Linked DNA regions of Caenorhabditis elegans. The protein of the gene in region 2 interacts with the protein of the main gene of each other region in a pairwise test. Each region holds a gene or a part of one and is shown on either strand. Other genes may lie near its edges.

Region 1 (3,594 bases), on a different chromosome or scaffold from region 2:
TGACGTCATTTTCGACATTTTTGCGTTTTTCCGGCTATTTTAATTGATATTTCTCTGTTTTATAACTTGAAACATAATTTGTGGATTTTTCAGACATTCTTTCGTAATGAAATTTGCTGAAAAATTGAAGAAAAATCAATTAAAGTCAGAGAACGCGAAAGTGACGTCACTTTTTTTACTCTGGAATTCAAAAAAAATCAGTTCTTTTGACCTTTTTTTTGGCCTGATTTTGGCTTTTTGGTCTTTTTGGCCTTTTTTGCGTTTTCCGACTGTTTTATCTGGTTTTTCTTTATTTTTCGTTATGTCACAATTTTAAACAAAATTTATAAAATTTTCAGAAATTTTTCCGTAAAAAACTTGTTGAAACTCTAAAATTAGCCTAAAATCGATAATTTAATTTTTGAAAAACGTTTTTTGTGGAAAAATGTCCGAAAAATTGACAAATTATGTTCCAAATTGTAAAAAATGGAAAAAAAATAAAAAAAACAGCCAGAAAACCAAATTCAAAAAATCAAAAAAAAATTAGAAAATTTTTATAAATTTTTTCACTGTTATATTCTGCCATTTAGAGCAAATTTTTAAAATTTTCAAAACTATTACCTTCGCCTTCGCCTGCCTCGCATGCTCAACTTTCGCCAGCTCCTGGCTCTTCACCTCGAAAACTATTTTATTCCGTTTTTCGAGTATATCTCCGGCTAATTCGAACAATTCGACGCCGAGAAGATCGATGAGCTCGCCCTGTAGATCCATATCGGAACGTGTCGAGCACAACATTTGTAGAAGGTTTTGGGATATTGTCTGAAGGAAAATAGGTTAGAAACTTGATTTTTTAGCCGAAAATCAACCTCAAACGTATCTGGAAAATATATAAGCAATGTGTCAGCAATCGGCTGAAAAATGCTCCCAGAGCCCGAGGTAGAAGGCACTTGGGGTAGGGAAAGAGCTTCTGGAGCTTCTGAAAAACCTTCTTGTTCAGCTTCACAATTCGACCATTCTAGAAATTCCGATGGAAATCGAATTTGAATTTCCTGGTGGAAGCTTGCTACCCGTGATGGTGAGGGTGGATCTGAAAAAACATCTGGTAAAAATTTTTTTAATAAAAAAATGGAAAAAAAGCTAACTAACCATCTCCAATTCGTTCGATATAGTTGAGAAGATCCATTTTGTACCTAGTTTGGCAGCTGTAAAATTAGAATTAAAATTAAAATGAAAAACTATATTTTTCAAGAGAGAAGGATGTTCAAACATTGTTCAAAATTTCGCAATTTTTGAAAAATCGATTTTTTTCTGAAGTTTTAAGTTTTAATTACTTTTAATTTCTATTTTGTTTAATTGCCAAATATTTTTGTTTTTTTCTCTGTTTTAAGGTGAAAATTAATAAAAATGAACAAAATAAGGTCCTGGCCGCTTCCCTTCTCTGACCTAGCGCTTTCTAGGCCAACTGCACTTTTATTTGGCGGTTTTTTATGCAAAAGTGTATTATATTAATTTTTTTCGCAATAAAGATGTGTTTTTAATCATTAAAATAGTTTAAAATGAAGAGAAACATTGAAAATTGAAAGATAACAAAAAATGTTTTTAAAAAAATTCTACAGTACTTTTTAAAGGCGCAGTCCAATTTTTGTATTGATTTTCCCGCCACGATTACTCTTGTGGACTCTTTTTTCGTGCTTTTTTTGTTGTTGGTTATGGTTTTTACTGATTTTTTTTGAATTAAAAATTAAAAAATGACTTTTTTAATTAAAAATTTGTTTCAATTATTTTGAAACCCTCTTGTAAAGCCTTGTAAAACAAGAAAATTGAACTACAGAAGTTTTAAAGGCGCATACTAATCTTCAAAACAATTTTCCTACCACGAAAATAAATGATGACGCGGGAAAACTGAAGAATCGTTAATTTTCTCCGTTTTTCACGAAAAATGTCGGTTTTTTCTATTAAATTCATCCGATTTTCAGATGTCGCTCAACACAACCTTCACCAAAGAGGACGGAACCGAGGTCGTCATCCCATTCAACGGGTCGCAAAATGGGCATCCGGAGAACGAGGAGCCAGAGGTTGAAGAAGCCGCGGAGCCCAGTTCTTCAGTGGAGACACTGTGCGGTGCCACGAGAGGCGACATCATTGTGATGAAGCACACGACGAAGGCGCTCACAGAGTTGATCGAGCGGCTCTTGCACTCGGATGGTGAGAAGCTTTGAAAAATTGCTAAAAGAGATTTTAAGAGGAATAAAACCATATTAATTTCAGAATTCGAAGTCCGTCGCTGCTCAAACGGCCAAATCATCTCACAAGGCCGCTGCAACGGAACAACGCCAGGAAACGGCATCGGAGGCGGCGGGGCATCAAGCGAGGAGCTCGAAAAAGCGCTGAAAGATCGAGATGCCGCCCGTGCCGAAGCCGACAAGCTCCACGCCAACTACGCGACACTGTTCGCCTCGTTCAACACGGTTCGCGAAGCCGCCAACGACATCCGCGGCGAGTACGAGGACGCGAGGGACAAGCTGAAGCTCGCCGCCGCCGAAGTTGACGAGTGGCAGGCAAAGTTCCTCGCCGTCAAGGATAATGCGAATTCTGAGCTTGAGAGGTGAGTGAGAGAAAATTTAATTTGCAACATGTAAGAATATATTTCAATTCAGAGCATCCGTGGAGTACGACGATCTTCTCCGATCCCACGATGAGAACACAAAGGGACTCCGTCTGCGTGTAAAACGCCAGGAAATCGAGCTCTCCAGCAAGAACGACGAGATCAAGGTGCTCACGAACCGCGTGTCGGAGCTCTCACAGATTTGCGATCAACTTCTGAATGATGTCGACGTTTCCGATGGGATGTCCGTTATTTCGACGGATGCATAATTTATTTCTGTAAAATATAATATTTCTTCCCCCCGCCTTTTCGCTTTCCGCCTTATATTTTCTAATTGTACATGAATTTTTCAGCTTATTTATTTGTTTTCCAGATTATTTGTATGAGAAACAAGTACAAAAGGCTTCGTTTCAGTATTTTACCGAGAAAAACTACAATCTTCTAAATTTTCGCGCCAAAGATACAGCGCCCGGTCTCGACACGAAAAACATTTGCCAAATGCAAGCATGTGTGCGCCTTTAAAGTGTACTGTAATTTCCAGGCCGAATTTGTTTTGATTTTTTTAGTTCTCACTTGTTTTTCCAAACAATTTATGCGTTGTTACGAGGTTTTTGTAATAAAAGTCAATAAAATTCCTACAGTAATCTTTAAAGGCGCACACCTCTTTTCAGACTGCCGCATGGATTTTGAGCGAATTTTTTGATTAAAATGTATGCAAAACTTTCAAAATTTCTATTAAAATCTTGCAATTTTCCAGATGAAAAAAGTGGAAATTCTGAAAACATCTCGGCCATCATCTGCAGGAGGCGCTGCCCGACCCTCCACAGCGAGCCCAACTCATGGAGCACCGAAAATCGCCATCAAAACACGTCCGGTGGCCGATGACGTGGCGCCTACCGCCGCTACGGTCATCGAGCCATCGCAAAAAGCGATGAAGGAGTCTGTGCGATTTTTGACGGATTTCGGAGAGATTTCCGATGCGATTTCAGTGTGTTTTTTATTTTAATAAT
Region 2 (3,754 bases):
GGAAAGTGGGCGGCGGAGCGAATCGCTGATTGGTCGGGGCGATTTTTTGCTCTCACCTCGCCGTCTTCTTGTTCAACAAATGCCTACTAATCCGCCTTGGCTTCACCCCATTCCGAATAACCTTGATAATTCGTGGAAACACGAAATCCGTATTCTCATGACACGGCTCTACGACACTCAACGCCAGCTTCTTCGTCTCCAAGTGTCGATTGTATCGATTGGCAAGTGTCAGACGCCAACTTGGCTCGGCGGCTCTCGAATAATCGACCGGTTTGAAAGCGTCGGTACTCGAACACACATAACCACCGCCGTCTTCGAATTGATCTACGGAAGTGATGCGTTGAGCGCCGTCGATCGTGAAAATGTGACGGATTCCGTGTGGAAGAGCCGTCGAGTCACAGATTACAGTTTTCATCAAATCTTCCATAAGTGGTTGCATACTCTTCACCCGGTCACTTTGTAAAGCATACTGAATCCCTTTGAAATATTGATCCCCATTTCTATAGAACCGGAGTCGCTTGGCTTTCAGTAAATGCGGATACCCGGATGGCCCGATTCGACACCTCCGCTGCATTTCTGAGACCATATCCCTGGACTCTGCGAGCTCATCTCCATTCGTTCCCTCGGTTTCCATGGCACATACGGATGACGTCATTGACGCTTCCGCAGTGTTCGTGCCACTATTCGGCATGCTTCCCTGGGAAATTGCCGTTGGGAAGACGCTTGTCTGATTGAGATTAAGAGTCGATGCTCGTGGAGTTGTCAGTGTTTCTTCACTGATCACTGCGGTCTGATTGTGATGAATATGATGGTGGAAGTGTTGTTGAGGAAGATGCGAGAATCGACGATGTGCGGAGGATGTTGATGGAGCAGATGATGATGGACTGATCTTTCTATGAACAACTGGAGATGATGATGATGTCAAGACTGCGGAGAGAGGACGTGTCGAATGAGGGAGATGGGCTGGAAATTAGGATTATATTACACGGGAACACAAAAAAATATTTAACGCGCAAAATATCTCGTAGCGAAAAGAAAACTACAGTAATTCTTTATATGACTACTGTAGTGTAGATTTACAGGATCTCGATTCTTTAGATTCAATTATTTTCGAATAGTGATAACGATCAAGGGTGTCGGTTTTTTCGATTTTTGAAAATCGAAAAATCGATATTTCGAAATTTTTTCGATTTTTTAAAAATTCGCTTAAACTTTGATCATTGTTCTTATTTTTAGATGTTCTTTATCATGAATATATAAACAAAATTAGATTTTTAAAAAATCATATCTTATGGGTAATTTTCTGAATTTCGGAAAATAGAAAAATCGAAAATTTTAGGGGCCGCTTTTTCCGGCAAATCGGCCAATTTGCGGAAAATTTAAAATCCGGCAACTTTCCGATTTGCCGGAAAATTTAGGGGCCATTTTTTTCCGGCAAATCCGGCAATTTGTCGATTTGCCGGAAAAATCGTTTTCAACAGTCTGACGGTATTAATCATTTTTTAATAGCTTTTTACAAATAAAAATGTCTCTTTTTTCAAGTTTTCAACTCAGTACTATTGAAATTAAACAATCTATCCGTGAATTTTGCAAAAAAGCAGCATCGCACCGAAAAAGAGGCGGAGTGTAATTTCGTAATTTCGCAACCTTGCGGCACGGTTTTTTCTCTATTTTTTATTTGTCTTTTTTCGAATGAAAGTATTACCCAATTTACTTATTATTAGATTGTGAGGATATTTCATGGTTGTAAAAAAAATGAAATTAATCGAAAAAAAAAATTCAGAAAAAAAGGAGAAAAAACCGTGCCGCAGGGTTGCAAAATTACGCTCCGCCTCTTTTTCTGTGCGACGCTGCTTTTTTGTTGCAAAATTCACGGATTCATCATTAAAAAAAACCATATCCCGTAAGCTGAAGCAAGCAAGCCACCAACGGGGAAATTCAAGCCAAACACTCAATTCTTACGTCGTTTGAATCGTGGAATATTCGACGTTTTTCCAGCAGCGGAAACCCTCTTCGATACACGTGGCAATGTGTTGGCTCCATTCATAGATGCTCCATCCGATCCTCCAGCTTCAGATCCAGGTGGTGGTGGTGGTGGTGGTGGTCTAGCAGTTGTGTCGTTGAGCTGCCACGCCGACGTTTGTGGCATCGTTCGAGTAGAGATAGTCTAACACCGAAAAAAAACACCAAATTAGCGATAGTTAGGCGCAACCACGAGAGGAGGACGGAGCGGTGTCAGGCCGTCCCATTACGGTTTGATCTACCAAAAATGCGGGAGATGAGACGCAGATTTCTCAGCTGATTTAGCATCGAATGAGAGTGTACTGACGTCACATTTTCCTGGGGGAAAGTTCCCGCATTTTTTGTAGATCAAACCGCAATGAGACTGCCTGACACCACGTGGGGATATACCACGTGGCAACAGGCCGTCCCATTACGGTTTGATCTACCAAAAATGCGGGAATTTTTGGCCCAAAAAATGTGACGTCAGCACGTTCTTAACCATGCGAAATCAATTGAGAAATTTGTGTCTTTTCTCCCGCATTTTTTGTAGATCAAACCGGAATGGGCCTTGGATATGAAAAAGAGAAAGGAATGCAAAATCAAAAGATTGGACAGAAAATGAACTAAAAATCGAGGAGGACAATTCCAATCGGGTATGGTGCAAGTGCTATAGACGGGAATTAATCTTTTTTTTTGTTATTTTAGAAAAACAATTTTTTTTTCTGAAAAAAAAGTGGAAAATTCAAATTTTTTTGAGATTTTCTGAGCAAAATTAAAGTTTTCTGGGAAAAAAAATTTTTGTCGGGGATTCAAATTTTCCGAAAAAAAATTTGGCGGGAAATTTAAAAATTTTAGAATTTTTTGGCGGGAATTCAAATTTTCGGAGAAAATATCTATTTTGGCGGGAGATTCAAATTTTCTGTGAAACAACTATTTCGTCGGAAAATTCAATTTTTTTTCGAGAAAAAAAACCTATTTAGGCGGGAAATTCAAAATTTTTTTAATTTTTTTTTGGCGGGAAATTCAAATTTTCGGAAAATATCTATTTTGGCGGGAAATTCAAATTTTCCGAAAAAAAAATTTGGCGGGAAATTTTTTTTTATTTTTTCGAATTTGTTTTGGCGAGGATTCAAATTTTCTCTTAAAATAATTTTGGCGGGAAATTCAAATTTTCTGAGAAATTTTTTTTTTCGATTTTTTAAAGATTTTTGAAGCAAAATTTCCATCAGGCTGTCCCATAACGGATTGATCTACAAAAAATGCGGGAATTTTTCGCCCAAAGAAATGTGACGTCAGCACGTTCTTAACCATGCGAAATCAGTTGAGAACTCTGCCGCATTTTTTGTAGATCTAGGTAGATCAAACCGAAATGAGACGCCACGTGACACCAAAAAAAAGGAGATAATTTTACTATGCTATGACTAGCTGACAATTCGAATCATTGTCCAAAATGAGCTGTCCGCGAGCATTGGTCTCCAAAATGCATGGAATGTCGAATGTGGGAATTAACTAGGCGTGCACACAGAGAGCAGTGAGCAGTGAGCTGCTTCTCGTTTTCCTCTCATTCGAAAGAGCTAAAGGGCAGACGGGTGTTGTTGTGGGTTGATTTGGCTGACGGGAGGGGCGCGCGCGAGCCAACGCAGAGCCGGGGGACGGAATAGACGAGGGATTAGTTAGGGGGTATCCGGAGGGACCACAGAGCCAATTAAACAGCTTCTCATTTGTGCAGCGCCACCTGCGTCTCCGCCGA

The links.
Region 1: the proteins of zyg-8 (region 2) and tac-1 interact in binary tests that used the Caenorhabditis elegans proteins (3 or more experiments, as listed by UniProt).

Annotation. Positions count from the first base shown.
Region 1 is NC_003280.10:14,752,237-14,755,830, reverse strand, and holds tac-1 (Transforming acid coiled-coil-containing protein 1), read left to right. Parts: upstream 1-1,953; 5' UTR 1,954-1,955; coding exon 1,956-2,184; intron 2,185-2,247; coding exon 2,248-2,584; intron 2,585-2,636; coding exon 2,637-2,853; 3' UTR 2,854-2,940; downstream 2,941-3,594. Other genes in the region: Y54E2A.4 (Activating signal cointegrator 1 complex subunit 3), read right to left, coding at 601-798, 846-1,066, 1,126-1,162; smg-9 (Nonsense-mediated mRNA decay factor SMG9), read left to right, coding at 3,342-3,572. UniProt on the Caenorhabditis elegans protein: Involved in microtubule formation, polymerization and assembly, regulating microtubule nucleation and length. Plays a role in pronuclear migration and mitotic and meiotic spindle elongation during early embryogenesis.
Region 2 is NC_003281.10:12,060,134-12,063,887, reverse strand, and holds the start of zyg-8 (Serine/threonine-protein kinase zyg-8), read right to left. Parts: upstream 2,176-3,754; 5' UTR 2,150-2,175; coding exon 1,963-2,149; intron 964-1,962; coding exon 57-963; intron 1-56. UniProt on the Caenorhabditis elegans protein: Probable kinase. Kinase activity may be involved in positioning of spindle poles in meiosis and mitosis. Plays a role in spindle positioning during asymmetric division of one-cell stage embryos.